Linked DNA regions of Macaca fascicularis. The protein of the gene in region 2 binds, or shares a complex with, the protein of the main gene of each other region. Links are inferred from orthologs where the notes say so. Each region holds a gene or a part of one and is shown on either strand. Other genes may lie near its edges. The genes, in order: CPLX1, VAMP2 and STX8.

Region 1 (6,270 bases), on a different chromosome or scaffold from region 2:
ACCTGCCAGTTTCTTTGTGTCCGGGGCTTGGTGTGTTTCTCAGTACTTCTCTTGGGGTCTCTGCCAAGCTCTGTCGTGCTGTCTGGAGGTCCCCCCATTTTCCATCTCTGTCTCACTCTGTCTCACTCACACGCATCCTGAGACAGCAACGATGAGGCTCGCCGGGTAAGGGACAGAGGCACAGAGGCAGAAAACAAGGTCTCGCCTGGGAACCCCCACCAGCTCCCACCCTCAGCAGTGCTGGCTCCGAGCCTCACGTGCTCTGCAAAGCCAATGTGGGGTGCTCTAGGCAGCACTCAGCGTGGAACCCCCTGGGGTCCGCCGGCTGCCCCCTCTCAGCTCCACCACGCTGAGTGATGCCTGCCCCGTTGCTGCTGCAGGAGAAACTTTGGGCTGCCATGAAACAAAAAGGGAATTCAGGCTGGTAATTACCCAGCTAATTTCAGTCATGCAGACAGCCAAATAAGATATTTCAGTTTTCTTACAAGCCCACCTCAGGGCCTGAATTAGCCACCTAATTAATTATCTGTAACAGTCTGGGACTCCCGGGGTGGAACGTGCGTCCCTCCCAGCGCAGATGCAGGCTAGTCCCTGAATCACGGCCCGGTGACGCAATCATTATAATTAGACTCAACCTGCAGCTTACCCTTGACCACGAAATCTCCAGGATGTGGCCCCAGGCCAGGCTCAACATCTTTTCATTTAATTTGTGCTGAGTGGAAGCACAGTCACCCACCAGGAGACAGCCAGGCAGGCAGCTCCTGTCCTGGGGGAAGCGGCACCTGCCCTCTGTCCACCCTTGTCCCTGGCCCCTCGAACCCAGCTGGCTCCCCCACTGCAGAAATGCTCCAGGCGGCCTGACTCACACCAAGGTGTGAACGGCATCAGGTCAGGATACTCCCCTGTGGAGGCCACCCAAGTAAGGTGTCTCCAGTGGTAGAATCGGGCACTGGCCACAGGTTCCCTTCACAGGAGTTCTGGGCACTGGTGCTGCACCAAGGAGCTGGGGGAACATAAGATGGATGGCTCTGAGCAAAACTGAGACTCGCCAGGACAGCCCTGAGGCCTAAGTTGACCCCATCAGCTCTGCTGGGACATGTCTGTACCAGTATGGCCCAGGCTCTGCCCACCTCCTGGACTAGGGACTTAGCCGCTGCCCTTGGCATGGTCTCTGGCCACAATGAAGTGGGGACGAGGTTCCTTTCAAATAGCAGACAGCAGGTTGGAAGGGGGCCTGCCCCCACCCCAGTACACACAAAAAAGGCTGCACGTCCCTCCTGGGAGGCGGTCAAGACACACAAGTTGTTCTGGGCCTTTTCCTTTGCTCCTGTAACCAGCAAGCCCTGGCTCCCTGAGGACAGCACTGCCTCACCCAAGTGAAACCCACAGAGTCCTCACCAAATGCACAGGCCAGCTCTGTCCCCACACCTGTCCCTGAGGCCGCCGCCTGCATCCTGCTCTCCCACCGCTGGGCCCTCCTCACCCAAAGGAAGCCCCCTTGGGGGCTGCCTAGCCTGGCCACTTAGAATTGGCCCTGCAAAGCCTACACCAGGGTGTCCACCCTCCCCTAGGACCTGCATCAGCGTGGTCCATGGGCTCTGCCCCGACCACAGCAGCGGGGCAGAGTGAGCTTACAGGGCAGCCCCTATCCCGCCAGGGACACCAGTTCTGTCTCAGGGACACGAAAAGGGCCGGGCTGGGGGCGCTGCAGGGCACGGTCCTTGCTCCTCTGCCCCAGGCGCTGCTGGGCACGGTCCTTGCTCCTCTGCCCCAGGCCCCAGGCTCCTCCACACAGTTGGTGGCTGTGTGGCTGCCGTGGCGCTGCTGCGGTGGACCGCTTGAGGAGCAGCTGGTGTGGTGGTCTCTCCATGTCTGCCTGTCCCAGCGGCCCGGCCCCTCAGCCCCTCCCCACCCCACCTCCTGCTTCCTACCTCCCAGGGCCTGCTTCATCACGAACTCCATGGCGATTGCTCTGATTCCACAGCGGCTCCTCCAAGGGTCAGAACTCACATGCGAGTGTGGCCAGGAGTGAGTGTTCTTCCTGGGGGAGAGTGAAGTGGTCACGGGTCACCCTGAGCAGGCCTCTGCCTGGCCTTCCCCAGAGACCATCATTCGTGTCCCCCTAATACCTTGTGGGCTGGACCCTCCCCACCAGGAGCGGCTGCTTGGGAAGTCCGTTCGTGAGGGGTTTCTGTCCCCACACCCAAACCAGGACCCCAGAGGACCTGAAAGTGGTCTCCCCAGCTCCTGGGGTGTCTGAAGCCCCTGCAGGGAGGGCTGCTGACAGCTTAGGGGGTAACGCTCAGAGGCGCCTGGCGCCAGGCTGCGGAAGCAGGGGCGGGGCCCAGGGGGCGTTTGAAGGTGACTGCTCTGCTCTGCAGCTCCGTGTCTGGAGCAGCGCCTCCTTGGTGGTCCGGAGCCCAGGGCAGTGGAGAAGGGTTGGGGGTGGGTCTTTGAGCGGCTGCCCTTCAGGGCGGGCTCCTGTGGCTTCTGACCAGGCAGGCTTGGGTCACCCTATCCCTGATGGCACTGCAGTCAGTGTGTCCCCCACATGACCCACGTAGAAGAGATCGGGGTTGGGGAGAAACTTCAGGGGGATCAGCCTTCCGGGAACACATGGGAACGGGGACCGAGCACTCCCGCCTCCCGAGATGTGCATGGGGTGGGGTGGGGCGCTCTGGTCCCCTCTTGGGAAGCGCTTTCTGAAATCACAGCAGCCGCAGTGCGCCCCCCGCGTTTGTGGGGTCTCTCCTGTCAGGGAAACACAGGTCCCTGGAGAGACACTGTTAGACGGTTCACCCCCCCGCTCTCCGCAGAGGAAGGAGACTCGCGCGCGGACTGGGAGGGCGGCGGGTGGGGAGCGCCCCTCGGAGCCTTTGCCGCAGCGCCGATTCTCCTCCAAACTTCTCCCCTGGCTCCCGCGGCGCGGGGAAGAAGGGCACTGCCGGGCCCCGCACACCCGCAGGGCTCCAGCCCCGCCGCACCCGCACCCTTCGGCTTTGCGGGCGGGCGAGCGGCCCTCAGGCGGGAGCGCGCCAGGAGAGGAAAGAAAGAGGGCGAGGGAGGAGAGGGGGAGCCTCGGAGACAGGAAGAAGCGAGGAGGAGGCCGGGCACGGGCCGGGACCGCGGGGGCCGCTTCAGCACCGCGGCAGTGGACAGCGCCCGCCCCGGACCCAGCGCGCGCGGAGCCCGGGAGAAAAGCGGGGGCCGCAGGGAGAAGCCGGGGACGGGGGGAGAAACGGGGACCGGGGGAAGAGGCCGGGGCGAGGGGGAGAAGCCGGGGCCGTGGAGGAGAGACCCGGGGAGTGGAGGCCGGGGGGAGACGCGGGGCGAAGCCGGGGCCGCGGGGAGAAGCGGTGGCCGGGGAGGAGAAGCCGGGGCCGGGGGGAGAAACGGGGGCCGGGGAAGAGAAGCCGGGGCCGGAGGGAGAAGCGGGGGCCGGAGAGGAGAAACCGGGGCCGGGGGAGAAGAGGGGAGAAGCCGGGGCCGGGGAAGAGAAACCGGGGCCGGGGGAAAAAGCGGGGAGAAGCCGGGGCCGGGGAGGAGAAACCGGCGCCGGGGGGAGACCCGGGGAGCGGAGACCGGGCGGGCGCTGCGCTCGGGGCGCGGTTACCTTCCCGGGGCGCAGGCGGTCAGCGGCGGGGCGCGCTCGGGCCGGCTGGGTCCATGTGGCGCCCGGTGAGCTGCGGCGGCGGCTGAAGGGCACAGCGAGGAGGGCGCGTCACTCGGAGGCGCTCCCCGCCCCCCGCCCGCGTCCGAGCGTGACGAGCAGGGGGAGGGGAGCGCCGAGGGGCGGGGCCGCGGGCGCCGGGCGGGGGCGGGGGCGGGGCGGGAGCGGGGGTGGATCCGAGTGAAGCGCCCCCGTCTCCTTCCAACCCCGCCCGGGTGCGACCTTCCCCGGCCTGGGCCTGCGACCCCTGCCCGCCCCTGATCTGGGCGCCCCCGGCCCTGCCCCCGCGCCCCGAGCCCGACCATGCGGGCGACCATGCGGGCCTGCTCCCTACAGGGTCCGCACCGGGCCGATGGGTGCGAAACCCTCGGGCGGAGAAGTCGCTGCCTCCCGGGCGGAGGGGTCAGGGGTTAGGGGGAGTCGCTGCCCCCCCATTCTCCGGGGACCGTGCCCCTGAGCGCCGCCCGCCGCCCCGAGCCCTCTGCCCGGACCTCCCCGCATCGCAGGGCGGGAGAAGGGGGCCCCCAGACCCCTGAAAACCCACCAAGCCCCTCGCCGCGGGAGATCCGCAGGTCGGCCTGGGCTGACTTTCAGTGTAACAGAGTCGCTGTTTCCTTTAGCGGGACGAAGGCTGGAGACCCCACCGCCCCCTCCCCCGGCCCCCAGGATTTCCTCTGCGGCGACGCGGCACTGCGGGAGAGCAGGGTCGCCGCAAGGTCGGCTCTCGGTCTGGTCCGCCCTGCGGTCGGGTCCCTGCTGTGCAATGTCGGGCGCCGGGTGGCGGGAGGGATGGGGCGCACCGGGACCCTAGAGCTGCCCTGTGCTCCTGGTGGTGAGTGGGGGTGGGTGGAGAGTGGGGGCCGCTGCCGGTGGCCGCCACATTAACTTGTCAGTGTCCCCTCCCGGCTGAGTCCCAGGGAGTCCGCTGGCGCTGGGAGGATGCGGTGTCTCCCCCGCCCTCAGCCCCATCCCCTCCGGTGTCCCGTGTTTAGCCTGAGCTCAGGAGGACTCAGAAGCCTGGACCCCCCAGCCTTGGCCCCAGCGCCTCTGCCCCGTCCCCACTCCTCTGCTGACCTGGCAGGGGATCCCCCGCAGAGGAAGGGAGCACTGGGGGAGAGGGAAGGGTGATGGCACCAGGGCCGAGCCCACGGGAGCTCCCAGAGGCAGTGAGAAGGGGCATGGGCCTGGGGGTTCACAGGCAACCTCCTGGAGGGGGACCTATGCCCTAGGACTGGGGTCTCTTCAGCCTCCCTGGCGTGGGCACCCCCAGCACCGTCCCTTCCTCTCTCCTTGGATCTGAGCCAAGTGGGCTCAGAAGGTTGGGCCCAGGGACAGGAGGCAGGACGTACACCCAGGCCCCTTCCTGTCAGCGACCCCTGGACCCCCAATGGCCCTTCAGGTCATCTCCACCTCCCCTTGTCCGAGGCCTCAGTCCTCACACACCTCCAGCTGGATACGCTATGGAGTGGACTCTCTGTTTCCCGATGCCTGGAGGCCTGACCTGAGCCCCAGCCTGGTCTGCTCAGTCTGCCTCCTCAGGACCTGGGAGGGGACAGCAAGGGTGAGATGTTTGGGTCCAGGAAAGAGGTCGCTGCTTGGCCCTGGCACTTTCTCCCTCCGTCCCTAACTGGGTGGGTAACCCAACAGCTCACCCCGACAGTGACCCCAGAGAGGACCCCTTGAGCCCAGAGCCAGGCTCACGACTGACCCTGCCACCTGCGCAAGCTGCATGCAGGGGAGATGCTGGTGCCTTTGGGGCAGTCTGCATAGGGGTGCAGGGAGTGCAGGCTCCTCCCAGCAGAAGGGTCCGGGGGTCTGAGCTTCAGCACTGGACTCCTAGGCTGACTCCTCTCCAGTTCTGTAACCCAGGCCAGGCTGCGCTCCAAGCACACCGGGAGCTGGGGCCTGGGGCACGGAGGACAGAGACCCTCTGTCAGCCTTACGTTCTGCCCGGTCTTCCTCTGCCTCTCTCTCTCTGTCTCTTTCTCTGTCGCTGTATCTCTCTGTCTCTGTGTCTTTCTGCCTGTCTCTCTGTCTCTATCTTTCTGTCTCTGTCTCCGTCTTTCCCTGTCACTGTATCTGTCTCTGTGTCTTTTTGCCTGTCTCAGTCTCTATCTCTGTGTCTCTGTCTCTTCTTTCTCTGTCGCTGTATCTCTCTGTCACTGAGTCTTTCTGCCTGTCTCTCTCTCTCTTTCTTTTTTTTTTTTTTTTTTTTTTGAGACGGAGTCTGGCTCTGTCGCCCAGGCTGGAGTGCAGTGGCCGGATCTCAGCTCACTGCAAGCTCCGCCTCCCGGGTTTACGCCATTCTCCTGCCTCAGCCTCCCGAGTACCTGGGACTACAGGCGCCCGCCACCTCGCCCGGCTAATTTTTTTGTATTTTTTTTAGTAGAGACGGGGTTTCACCGTGTTATTAGCCAGGATGGTCTCGATCTCCTGACCTCGTGATCCACCCGTCTCGGCCTCCCAAAGTGCTGGGATTACAGGCTTGAGCCACCGTCTTTCTTTCTTTTCTTTCTTTCTTTCTCTCTCTCTCTCTTTCTTTCTTTCTCTTTCTTTTCTTTTCTCTTTTCTTTTCTTTTCTTTTGAGATGGACTCTCGCT
Region 2 (6,270 bases):
GTCTAGAACACAGCACCCCCGCCCCCAGCATCTCTCCTACCCTTTCACACCACAGCTTAGATATCCCTGCTCCCCCTCCACACAGAAAACCTCAAGTGTGGGGGGAAGAAAGTTTGGGGGCCCCCTCCCGTGGCAGGTTAAGGGACTGTACCCTCAGACCCTTAAAATTGTGCCATTTAAAAAGACAATAGACCCTTCCTCAATCACTTCACCCAATGAAAAGACAGCTCTCTCTGGGCTCAATAGCCCTGGAGAGGGGCAAGCATCCCCATATTCCAGCAAGTCCCATGCACACATTGGCAGTGACTAGTACCCCACCCTAAATTCGGGGGTGGGGGAAGTCAGAGGAGCTGGGAAGTGATGGGGGCAACACCCCCCAAATTGAGGAGGAGGGTTTTCAGTCCTGCCCCCAGCAGGGGTGAGGCCAGAGATTTCAGGCAGGAATTGGGGGGATTCTCTGCCCTGCCCCACTCCTCCCCAAGGCAGTGATGACCCCCCACACACTGGTAGCCACCCCTCCCAAAAGAGATCAATTGTGGCCAACCCCCAACTCTCCTAGTGGGAGGAGGAGGTGGATCAGGCAGATGGGAGGGAAACCCCATGGGAATGTCAGTTGAGTGCCCCACATGAAAACTGGGGAGCAGGAATGTGGGGAGAATCCCCAAGTGGCAGAATTATTGGTCCATCATAACATACTGAACTCCAAGACACTTACATACCAGCTGGGGGAGGGAGAGGGTACAAGAGGTTTGGAAAATGAGGGTAAGGGAGGCAAACTGGACTAGAAGAGCTAGGAAGAGGCAATGCTGGAGGACAGAGCAGCCTGGTCCCCCAAAAGCCCAGGCTCCCCACCATCTGCAAGTAATGTCGTGCAAATGAAAATGTGATACAAGGACTAATGGGGACTAACTCCTCAGTAAAAAAAGAAACACCAGTTGAGAGAAGAGTGATGGAACAAAAAGAAATGGAAAGGGATGGCAGTATGTAATGATACGCTACTTAACATGCTGGACACTCCCAAAGACCTTGGGATTCTTAGGACCAAGTGGGGCCAGTCTCAGAGCCTCCCATTGGATGCAAACAAGATGCACCTAAGGAAGCCTGGACAGATGCTTTTTGTTTTTTGTGGTCTTTTTTGAGGGCGGGGCAGAGGGAGCATGACCGGGAGAGGGAGGAGGAAAGGAAGGCCAGGGTGGGGGGAAGGATCAGCTAAATCTGAGGGAAGAAGAAGGAGAGGAGAGGGACTATTGCATAGCAGATGCAAATGAAGGGACTTGGGGCTAGTCAGGAAGAAAGGGAAAGGGAAGGCAGGCAAGAGAGAGGAGGTGAAGGGAACCTCAGGAAGGGGTGTTAAGGACAACCAGAAAAATCTTCTAGTAATAAAACTACAAACAGACCAAATATATATAATATTATATATGTATAAATAACAGCTGGCTATTTACAGGGGGACACACACACGGACACACACACGCACGGATCCAGGGAAGGGGGGCTGAAAGATATGGCTGAGAGGTGGAGGAACGGCTGAGGGTGGGGGGAGAGGCCCTTCTTTAGGCAGGGCAGACTCCTCAGGGATTTAAGTGCTGAAGTAAACTGTGGAGAGAGGGGAAGAAGATGAGGAAGAGGGAGAGGGGAGGGAGAGAGGGAGAAAGAAAGAAAGCAGTGTGTCAGGCCTGGCCCTGCTCCAATCCTCCCCACTCCCCAGCTGGCTGGCACCCCTACCCCTCTCTTGGACTCAGTTTCTCCATCTACAAAGCAAGGGGTTAGACAGGTAGGTTATGAGGTCCCTTCAGTTCCATGGTATGGCCTTGAGGCCACATACCCTAATCCTCTGAGCCTGAGGCCACAAGCTCTCAAATAATGGGGTGGTTGGCTTCCTGGTCATGTCTCAAGCCCCTGGGCCTTTCCTTTCTCCCACTCCTCAATTCCAGGGCTCTCAGATTGGGCTCTTAGGCCCAAAGGGTCCTCAATGGATACACCAACTTTTATATTTCTAAATGTTAACAAAACTGCCAAGAACCAGGCAAAATGCAGGCTAAATAACATCAAAGTTTTTGGCTCTAGGTGAATCAGAATTGCCATTAGCAGCTATATGTGTTTTTGGCTGAAGAGTAAAAACTAGGTTAATGACCTTCAAAACCCAGAATCCACTGGGGAAACCTCTCCAGGGAAAGGGCCCCGGCCATTGCCAGCCTACTCACCTATGATGATGATGAGGATGATGGCGCAAATCACTCCCAAGATGATCATCATCTGGGGGTGAGAGGAGAGGATCAGCGAGACTAACTATGATACCCCATTCACCCGCCAGTCCTCCTTCCTGTCCCCATCCTTACCTTGAGGTTTTTCCACCAGTATTTGCGCTTGAGCTTGGCTGCACTTGTTTCAAACTGGGAGGCCCCTGCCTGGAGTGCATCTGCACGGTCGTCCAGCTCCGACAGCTTCTGGTCCCGCTCCAGGACCTTGTCCACGTTCACCCTCATGATGTCCACCACCTGGGAGAAGGGCCCACGGGGCAAGGGGGTGTGCCAAGGCCCACCTCATGAGGGTAATCCTCAAACATGTGCCCACCGTGCCACACATGGAACATGCACCCTGATGCTGCCAGGTTAACATGCCAAGGACACACACAGTACATGCCTAGCACACCTGGGGACATGCAAGGAGCACACATCAGGGGATTACTGGTGACATCTCAGATATCATAGCAACACCCTCCCTCTATGGCGCCTCAGGCGCTCTGTCCATCACCAGAGCACACCTGCCTAGGCTGGCACACCCCAGGCTAGCAAAGCTGATTAACACCCCCAGCACCCTTCCAAGTGCGTGCTGACAGGGAGACACGGATGGGGCAAGGTATCTTTGTCCGCAAACCCACAGGCGTGAACTGTCATCACTCCCAAACCAACATGGGCCCCTACACCTAAACGCCAACCCCCAGGGTCCTTTCTACTGCTTTTGACTCCCCCCACACTCACCTCATCCACCTGGGCCTGGGTCTGCTGCAGTCTCCTGTTACTGGTGAGGTTTGGAGGGGGTGCAGGGGGGCCACCCTCCCCAGCCGGGGCGGCAGGGGGGGCCGTGGCAGCGGTAGCAGACCTGAGGAGCAGGGACGGATTAAGACCCAGGGCCTGCAGTCTCCCGGCCCTGCAGCCAGGGCTCCGCCCATCCACCTGTCCATCCTCGTCCCTCCAGTCCTCCTTTTCGGGAGGAAGGCCACCCGATGGAAGCCCTGGTCCAGGTCCAGCCTCGCCACCGATGAGCTGCGTGACCTTGAGCGAGGCCTCCCCTCCCCCCGGCCTCAGTTTCCCCGCCTGTCAAATGAGGGCGACCTCACAGATGTGATCGGGGTCGACCCGAAAAGACAGGCGGCCGCGGTGACAGGGGCGGGGCGCGGCAGGAGGACACAGGGTCCGCTCCTTCCTGCGGCCATCGCTCGAGCCGGCCAGCCCGAGACGCTGGGCTTCTCGGCCGCCCGCGCGCAGTCACCGGCTTGGGCCTGGCCCCGGGGCGCGGGGAACGCGGGAGAGACCCCGGGCACTCCCCACGGCCGGTTGCCAAGGGCGGCGGCCGGTGCAGGGAAGCGCGGTGAGGGTGGCGGGCGGCCGACTCACATGGTGGGGGCAGCGGGTGGAGGACTTGGCAGCAGCAGTGATGGCGGCGGCAACTCGCGCTGGCTCCGACTGGCGCTGGCTGCCCGGGACGGAAAGATGGCGGCCGCGCGTCACCCGCATCCGGGCACTGCGGGCGGGGGCGGGGCGCCGCGGGCGACGCGTCGGGAGCGGGGCCGCGGGGGCGGGGCGCTGCGGGACTGGGGTCGTGCCCGGCGGGACTGCGGGTCTGGCGCCACCGTGCCCCGGCAGCTCTCTGGGCACTCACGGGACCACCAGGCGGGTTGCTGCGGCTTCCCTAAACCCACCGTCACCCCGCCCTGTCTGAGCACAGCCTTCCACAGCCGCCCCCAAACCTCTTGCCACCTGCCCCTTAGGGCACACAGCAGCCTGGCCCCGCACCTAACCCCCAGACCACTCCCTGAATCGTGAACCCAATAAGCCAGCCTGCATCCCACACAGCCCAAGGTCTCGCCCCGCGCCCAGGTCCCAGCACCTAGCGACCCGCCTTCAGCACTGGGAATGGGCTGGGGTTGGGAAATCAGAGAGGGCCAGTACAGGCGCTGGGGCAATATCGAGAGCGGGGACCCTGCTGCTAGGGTGGAGGGGAGTGGAGGAGGTTGGTCTCAACCCATCACCCCGCTGGTGGATGTCTCAGAGGAAGCCTGCGATCCCAGGCCACTGGGTAGGAGGGTGGGAAGAAAAGATGAGGCAGGCTCTTCCTGCCGAAACAAGTCCCGGGGGTGGAGGACCGGGGAGTGTCTACAGGGTGTGAGGAGGGGGGTGCCCCGCCTCACGATTGAGGTTCAGACCAGGGGTACTTAACAGCTGGAGCAGGCCCGACTGAGGTGGGGTGAGCTGAAGACCCCGAGGAGGAGGGCACAAGGCAGCCGGGGCTGATGGGGGCAGGGGCTGCTTCACGTGGTGGCTGCTGACTGGCCAAGACCTAGCTTTGCCCCAGGCTTGGGTCAGCGACCCCAACTGCAGGAGAGGGCTCAGGCTTTGGTCCCAGGCACAGGGACCAAAAGGCTTTTTTCTCTCTCATTTTTTTTTCTTTAGTAGTAGGCACAGTGGGTACAGTTTACAAGGTGCTGCTTTACATGCGTATTCGCCTCGCAGGTGTGACCTTGGACAGTTGCCGTCCTCTCTCTGGACCCCAAATACATTGCATATGTAGATACTAAATCCATATTCGTTAAATGGCTTGATGTGGATAACATGGAAGATTATCCCTATCTCCATTAGGCCCTCTAAGCACACCCAGAGGCTGTCTACACTCCCACCCAGCTTGTCAGAGAAGATGGGACCAGGGGAGCTGTCGCTCTGGTGGAGTGCAGGGGATCAAAGCAAGCCTCAAGGGTACAGGAGGCATTTTAGGCGAGGCCCTTTGAACCTGGGGTGGGGGTGCTTACTACATCCCTGGAAGGTGCAGGGAGGCTGATGGCCTTGATCTCTGAGACAAACAGGAACCAGCTTCGTCCCTCCCCCACCCTGGCTTCCCAGGGCCTCCGGGTGTGAGATACTCCCCCACTGCAGTGCCCCACTCCCTCCCCACAGAAGCCCGGGGACTGGCTCTGTCACCAGAGGTGTCATTTCCCAGCTGTCTGGGGGAGGTGAGTGAGCAGGGAATGTGTGTGCTGGGTGTGGGAACTCAGCCCAATCTAAGAGAAGATACTCTTGGCTTCCTCCCACTCAGAGGAGCAGCCGCATCCCTGATCCTTGTGCACTGACAGTCCCGGGTGGCTCAGCCTATGTGATGAGAAAGAAAAGAGCAGCTTCCATGGGGGTCTCAGATCATGCTATGGGATGCTGGCTCCTGCTTTTTGGTCTTGAGATGATTCTGCTTTCTAGTCAGAGAACAAAGATGCCAAATTCCAGCCTTTTAAGTTCAAAAGCTTCAGTGTCTGTCTGGTTATAAATAAGACAGGGAGGATTGGAAGAGGCAGGCACAGGAAGCCCTTCCGCCCCCAGTTGGACACCCTGCACTAACTGGGGGGAGCCTAGTGCAGGGCCAGGCAAGACATTTGATGCTGGTTTGGGGGTGATATGGAAGGGACAGAGCCCCAGATACACTGTCAAGGCCAGGGGTCGTGCTATTGCTATTGGATTGTGGGGGCGGCAGCAGCAGAGTAGAAATGAGGGCATGTGTGACCCACGCAGATGAGAGGCCCAGGAGGATTCATCTCAGAGAGGGGGCTCTCACCCAGCAGCCCGTTCCCACCCCACCCCACCTAGGCTGTGGCTCAAAGGAACTCCCCAAGTTTAGATCAATGGTGGAGGTGGGGGAAGGAGTGGGATGACAGTGTTCACCTGGAAGTGACTGAGAGAATGTGTTCTGCAGGCAGGTAGAATAGAGACCCAAATAGAGGGAAGTCAAACGATAGAAAAATAATGTATTTGCGTAACTCAGATTTGGCTTCTTCATGTACCTGCTGTGGTAATTGACTGATGAATTTCTAGGGCACACCCCCAAGACTCATTCAAAGGATGTAGGGGCTCAAGGTGATTGTGATGTAGGCAACAGAGACCACACTTTCATAAAGGCTTTCTTTTATTTTTAATTTTTATTTATTATTATGTATTTATTTATATTTGAGACAAAGTTTCGCCCTTGCTGCCCAGGCTGGAGTGCAATGGCGTGATCTCGGCTCACTGC
Region 3 (6,270 bases), about 1.4 Mb from region 2:
TGAGCCACTGCCCCTGGCCTCAGTTGCAGAGTTCTCTGTGTGTGGTTCTATATTGGCTTAACAAATGACGCTTTGCAACTCACTGTAGGCTGCTCAATTCTTTCTCAATGATGTTGTAACCAGCTCTCAAGATATCTAATGTCCGAAATGTATAAAGCACTCACTTTCTATCGGAGACTGTTAAAGTAAAACCAAGAGTCAAGAGCTAAGTCCTAGAGTACGCTTAAAACTTTAAACAGTGATTGTTCGGCATCCACATTCTTAAAGCTTTCAGGCATCACAACACACATTTTTGAAAAGTTTTGTTTCTCCTAAAATCATTCATTGTTTTCTCATCCCTCAAAAAACCAAAACCCCTCAAAACGAACAATAAAACCCCACAGCTTTTCCCTCCCAGAATCTTCAAAACAATAGGCAGTCACAAATAAGATTTCAGCGGAGTGTCCCAGACCCTTTTTCTCTCCGCTTCAGCTCCCCCTGACGTCCCCTTCCCTTCTGTCCTGGTCTGAAATCCTCACCATTTAGAAACCTTCCTTAAGATTAGAGGACCAAGATCATCCCTCAGGGGGTTGCTCAAACACACGTTCCGTCCTAGCCCCTTCTCACGGGTACGCCAGTTGGGATTTTAGCAGATTTCCTAGCTAGTCCCGGGGCCGACACAGACAGCATCCTTCTGTGTGGTTACGAAGGAGCCTAGGGCTTTGTGGGCGGCGTAGAGCTCAGAGCCAGGAAGGGCTGACCTAGTGGCAGAAGGGTTACAACCACCCGTACCCATCCGGCCCGCCTGGGGAGGAGGCATTTGGTCCCTTTTAGGAGCTGGCGCTTGTCAGAGCTGGTAAAAACCATCCCACTCCCTGAGGCTCTCGGATCGAGGAAGTGACTCTCCAAGGCCTTGGGGAGGGTCAGGCTATGCGGGTCCTCCGTGTGTGTCCCTGCCCAGGGCTCCTGCCGTTGTCCCACACTGAATTTCAGGTGTCCCCGGTGTCTCACTATTCCTGTTTGCACTACAGGTCCTCCGAGTTCCTAAACCAGCCAGCCCAAAGATGCTGGAGGCCTCACCATTGAAGCCGATCACGGCGTCAAGTTCCAGCTCCGCCACTTGGGCCTCCGGCGAAATTTTGTTATCCATCCCTGGGAGGTTCTGCTTACTTTGCTCTCCGCCCTAGTGGGTGCAGCGTCTTCTGGTCGTTATGGTAACGGACGAGCGCATGCGCGCCAGCTCCACGCCCGCGCAGAAACCCAGCCTGCCGAATTCGAGTTCATTAGCATTCTTGGAAATGAAGGGAGATAGGGACTGGGAGGGAGATAGGGTGGGATTCATCTTTTTTGTGTCTGCTGTTTCTCTGGAAATTTAGGAGATGGCACTAACTGCACAGAACTAATTCCTCCATCCCCTCGTGTTGAGTCTGTGACTTCTTAGTAACTCTAAAATCAAGCACCAAATGAATGGCATTTTTAAAAATATGTAATCAAGCATAGAGGACTGATGGGAAGGCTGCTATAAAATAAATAAATACATAAATATATATATAAAATTGATACTTCTTTGGGCCCCTGTTTAAAGCAGCGTGAAAAAATATTTTAAATATATTTTTAAAAAGCGTTATTGAGGTATAATTTACATATCATAAAGTTAACTTAAAGTAGGTTGTAGTAAGTTTACGAAGTGTGCAAGTCGCACCGCAATCTAGTGTTTTGTTTGTTGTTTTGTTTTTTTGAAGCAGGATAAATTTTTAAGTAACTGCTACGGAGGTCTTGCAAGCGCTCCCACCTTCCTGGGAAAATGGTTAGTTTCTATTTAACAATTTTAACTGAGCTCAGCTGTTCGCGTCTCTTAGTGGGAGTAGATTGCGCCAGCCAACTGTTCCCAGGGGAGCACTTTCCTTTCTCTGATCATGGTTCTTAGGCTCTAGTTATTCACTTTGCAAACTCCAGGCTCCGGTCGCGCACGGGACGAACTGCGGGGAGTGAGCCGTGCGGGCCGCCGTAGTCAGCTGCTAAGAGCAGGAAGAGTCCGAGCGGCGGGCGGAGTCTGCAGGATGGCACCGGACCCCTGGTGAGCCCAGGGTGAGGGTGGCGGTGCGCGGAGGGACCTTCGGGGAAGCCGGGCTTCCGGGGAGCAGGCGATCACTTCGCATTGCCCCTGGAGGCCTTTCGAGATGAGGGGAGGGGCAGCGAGACCCTTCCTCTACTGAGGGGACTCAGCCACATCCCGCCACCCTTGGTCCTTCCAAGGGTAGCTGGGGAAGGAGACCGGGTGGTCAGCTGGAGAGCTGAGGATTTGAGCCAAATCTCTGAATATTTCTCTAGCTTTTCTGGGCTGCATCTCGCTGCGGGGATTTCCCGCCCATCCTGGTTGTGGAGCTGGCCGGTGCAGGCTTCCTTGGACTCCTATAAAAGTGAAGTCGAAATAACCTTTTTGTAGCATGTCTGTCCATCTCGGTAAACCCCCTTATTTCACAGGTGGAGAAACCGAGGTTCAGAATCCATGGTCACCAGCCAGTTAGTAACCAGCTGGGTCTAAGACCTAGATCCTGGGGGCCCTTCCAGATACAGGAACCTGGGAGGGAAATTGTGCGCTTGTTTATAAGGCATTTTGCACTTTCTTGAGTTAATATCATGAAGTCTTTTCCTTTAGCAGTAGCTTCTGCAGTAAAACAATAGGTGATAAGGGTCATTTATTTAGCAGTCAATCCCAAGGACTGCTTGATGAAAGATGTAACTTTTGATCTCAAGGAACATATTGTTTGATCCCAAGGAACATATTGTTATTGAACATAGACTTGACCTTTCTGCTTAATAATTAAAAACATTACAGCTCTATAACGTTCTTGTTGGAATATATGTCTTATGTTGTTATTTCTAATATAGTTTATAATTCTTTAAGTTACCCTCAGCCTGGATGTTAGAAGAATGGGTTCCAAGAACAAAGTTGAGTTACCTGGAATCTAGGTTATTTGGGTCAATTATTTAATTTAGCATTGACCTTTTTAGACCTAATTTTAGGCCGGACGCGGTGGTGGCTCACGCCTGTAATCCCAGTACTTTGGGAGACCGACGCAGGTGGATCACCTGAGGTCGGGAGTTCGAGACCAGCCTGACCAACATGGAGAAACCCCCTCTCTACTAAAGATTACAAAATCAGCTGGGCGTGGTGGTGGGTGCCTGTAATCCCAGCTACTCAGGAGACTGAGGCAGGAGAATCGCTTGAACCCGAGAGATGTAGGTTGTGGTGAGCTGACATAGCGCCATTGCACTCCAGCCTGGGCAACAAGTGCGAAACTCCGCCTCAAAAAAAAAAAAAAAAAAAAAAAAAACCAAAAAACCCAAATCCCTAATTTTAACAGTTATATACACCCCTTGATAGAGAATATCTAATTTAGAGAATATTGAAAATTTGCAGAGGAAAATAAATAGCATCTTTAACTCTATAATTTGGAAATAGCCATTGTTTAATTTTTAACAATGAATTTGTTACTTTAATCTGTATTTTATATATAGTAAAACAGCATTTCTCTATGTCATTGGACATTCTTTGAAAACATAATTTTCTTTCTCTCTCTTTTTTTTTTTTTTTGAGATGGAGTCTTGCTCTGTCACCCAGGCTGGAGTGCAATGGCATGATCTTGGCTCACTGCAACCTCCACCTCCCGGGTTCAAGCAACTCTCCTGCCTCAGCTTCCAGAGTAGCTGGAACTACAGGCTCATGCTGCCACACCCAGCTAATTTTTTGTATTTTAGTAGAGACAGGGTTTCGCGGTGTTGCCCAGGCTGATCTCGAATTCCTGAGCTCAGGCAATCTGCGTGCCTCGGCCTCCCAAAGTGCTGTGATTACAGGTGTGAGCCACCACACCCGGCCTCATAATTTTCTAATGTTGCATAATAATGCATCACATGAATGACCATAATTTATTTTTCTCCTCATATTAGTTTTTTGGTTTTTTGATGTTTTGTTTTGTTTTATGATTGCAAAGGCAGTTCCTTTGTTCCATCTCTTATTTCCTTGGGCTCCCTGTCTAGAAGTAGGAATTAGAACTGTTGAAAGTGAAAGCATTTATTTTTTTTTTTGTTATTCTCAATTAGTTTGACTAAGTGGCTTTCTCATTAGATTGTTGAAAGTGAGGGCTGAAGGGTACGAACATTTTTAAGGCCCTTGATACTGTGAACCCCAAAGTATCTGAGACAGGACTCAATCAATTTAGAAAGTTTATTTTGCCAAGGTTAAGAATGCACCCGTGTGGATCACGAGGTCAGGAGTTCGAGACCAGCCTGGCCAACATGGTGAAACCCCGTCTCTACTAAAAATACAAAAAAAATTAGCTGAGCGTGGAGGCACGCGCTGTAATCCTAGCTACTTGGGAGGCTGAGGCAGGAGAATCGCTTGAACCTGGGAGGCAGAGGTTGCAGTGAGCCGAGATTGCGCCACTGCACTCCAGTCTGGGCGATAGGGCGATACTCTGTCTCAAAAAAAAAAATAATAATAATAATAACAAATGCACCCGTGACACAGCCTCAGGAGGTTCTGAAGACCTGTGCCCAAGGTGGTTGGGGAACAGCTTGCTTTTATACAATTTAGGAAGAATAATACATGAGTTAATACATGTGAGATTTATGATGGCTCAATCCAGAAGGGCGGGACACCTTGAAGGGGGTGGGGGAGGCTTCAAGGTCATAAGTAGTTTGAAAAATTTTCTGATTGGCAATTGGTTGACTTATTATCAATAGAAAGGAATGTCTGGGTTATGATAAGGGGTAGTGGAGACCAAGATTTTATCATGCAAATGAAGCCTCTGGGTAGCAGGCTTTAGAGAGAATAGATTGTAAATGTTTCTTATCAGACTTAAGACCTGTTTCAGGTTAACTTTGGAATGCCCTTGCCTGGGGGGTGGGATCCATGCAGATGGTTTATTTTTGGTTTACAATACATATTCCTAAATTGCCCTCCACCTTCTTTAAAAACCTATAAAAGGCCAGGTGCGGTGGCTCATGCCTGTAATCCCAGCACTCTGGGAGGCTGAGGCAGGCAGATCACAAGGTCAGGAGTTTGAGACCAGCCTGACCAACGTGATGAAACCCCCTCTTTACTAAAAATGCGAAAATTAGCTGGGCATGGTGGTGCACGCCTGTAATACCAGCTACTCAGGAGGCTGAGGCAGGAGAATCACTTGAACCTGGGAGGCAGATGTGCAGTGAGCTGAGATCGCACCACTGCACTCCAGCCTAGGTGACAGAGTGAGACTCCATGTCAAAACAAAGCAAAACAAACAAACAAACAAAAAACCTATAAAAACAGATTCAACTACAGTTTTACCTTTGTGTTGCTAAAGTCATAGGTCATTGGCACCTCCCTCAGTGTTTAGAAATGGAATAGAGCAGTTACTATTTTAATGGCCTATCAAAACAAGTGGTAAGCTGGCTGTTTAACAGAAGTAGCACATGATACTGTCTCTAAACTGGTTCTTTGCTAATGTTAATTAGCTTTACCGTCAGGGTAACTTATTTGTTGATGATATACCGTTTCCAGAAAAATTACACTTAAACCTTAATAGTTTTATATTCCTGACTGGACTTTTTATGTTGGTAGCATGGTCTTCTTTTTGTTGATTTGCTTTTTAAAAACTTTATTTTGGAAGGTAAAAGATACACAAACTAGAATAGTACAATGGGCCCCTTCCATACTCACCACCCAATTTCTGTAATTATCAATATTCTGCCATTCTTGTTTCATCTCTGCCCTCCACACCTTTTTTTTTTTTTTTGAGACAGAGTCTTGTTCCGTTGTCCAGGCTGGAGTGCAGTGGCACGATCTTGGCTCACTGCAGCCTCTGCCTCCTGAGTTCAAGTGATTCTCCTATCTCAGCCTCCCAAGTAGCTGGGATTACAAGCACCCGCCACCACACCCGGCTAATTTTTGTGTTTTTAGTAGAGACAGGGTTTCACCATGTTGGCCAGGCTGGTCTTGAACTCCTGACCTCAGGTGATCCCCCATCTTGACCTCCCAAAGTGCTGGGATTACAGGTATGAGCCACCACACCCGTGCCTGGCCCAGATTATGTTTTTTTTTTTTTTTTTCTTTTTTTTAGACGAAGCCTCTCTTGTCTCCCAGGCTGGAGTGCAGTGGCGCGATCTCGGCTCACTGCAACCTCTGCCTCCCGGGTTCAAGCGATTCTCCTGCCTCACCCCTCCGCCAGATTGCTTTTCTAAACTAGTACTTCAGGCACCTCTGTGCTTGATAGTGTAATGAGGTTGTCTATTACCCCAGGCCAAGGG

What was found.
Region 1: the proteins of VAMP2 (region 2) and CPLX1 are in contact, whole or in part, in a crystal structure (PDB 1KIL), measured with the Rattus norvegicus proteins. The link is inferred for Macaca fascicularis from reciprocal best matches to the Homo sapiens genes VAMP2 and CPLX1. Residues at the interface, in NP_036795.1 of Rattus norvegicus: Arg47, Val50, Asp51, Leu54, Asp57, Gln58, Ser61, Asp64, Asp65, Asp68, Ala69, Gln76; in NP_074055.1 of Rattus norvegicus: Leu41, Arg48, Tyr52, Glu56, Arg59, Glu60, Met62, Arg63, Ile66, Arg67, Tyr70, Gly71, Ile72.
Region 3: VAMP2 (region 2) and STX8 share a complex: the UniProt entries of both Homo sapiens proteins name them as parts of the SNARE core complex. The link is inferred for Macaca fascicularis from reciprocal best matches to the Homo sapiens genes VAMP2 and STX8.

What each region holds. Positions count from the first base shown.
Region 1 is NC_088379.1:907,579-913,848, forward strand, and holds the start of CPLX1 (complexin-1), read right to left. Parts: upstream 3,674-6,270; 5' UTR 3,614-3,673; intron 2,042-3,613; 5' UTR 1,963-2,041; coding exon 1,932-1,962; intron 1-1,931. UniProt on the Homo sapiens protein: Positively regulates a late step in exocytosis of various cytoplasmic vesicles, such as synaptic vesicles and other secretory vesicles.
Region 2 is NC_088390.1:8,245,608-8,251,877, forward strand, and holds the start of VAMP2 (vesicle-associated membrane protein 2), read right to left. Parts: upstream 3,699-6,270; 5' UTR 3,620-3,698; coding exon 3,618-3,619; intron 3,103-3,617; coding exon 2,982-3,102; intron 2,499-2,981; coding exon 2,340-2,498; intron 2,257-2,339; coding exon 2,205-2,256; intron 1,597-2,204; coding exon 1,580-1,596; 3' UTR 1-1,579. UniProt on the Homo sapiens protein: Involved in the targeting and/or fusion of transport vesicles to their target membrane. Major SNARE protein of synaptic vesicles which mediates fusion of synaptic vesicles to release neurotransmitters.
Region 3 is NC_088390.1:9,660,198-9,666,467, reverse strand, and holds the start of STX8 (syntaxin-8), read left to right. Parts: upstream 1-2,016; 5' UTR 2,017-2,039; coding exon 2,040-2,056; intron 2,057-6,270. Other genes in the region: CFAP52 (cilia- and flagella-associated protein 52), read right to left, coding at 1,060-1,129. UniProt on the Homo sapiens protein: Vesicle trafficking protein that functions in the early secretory pathway, possibly by mediating retrograde transport from cis-Golgi membranes to the ER.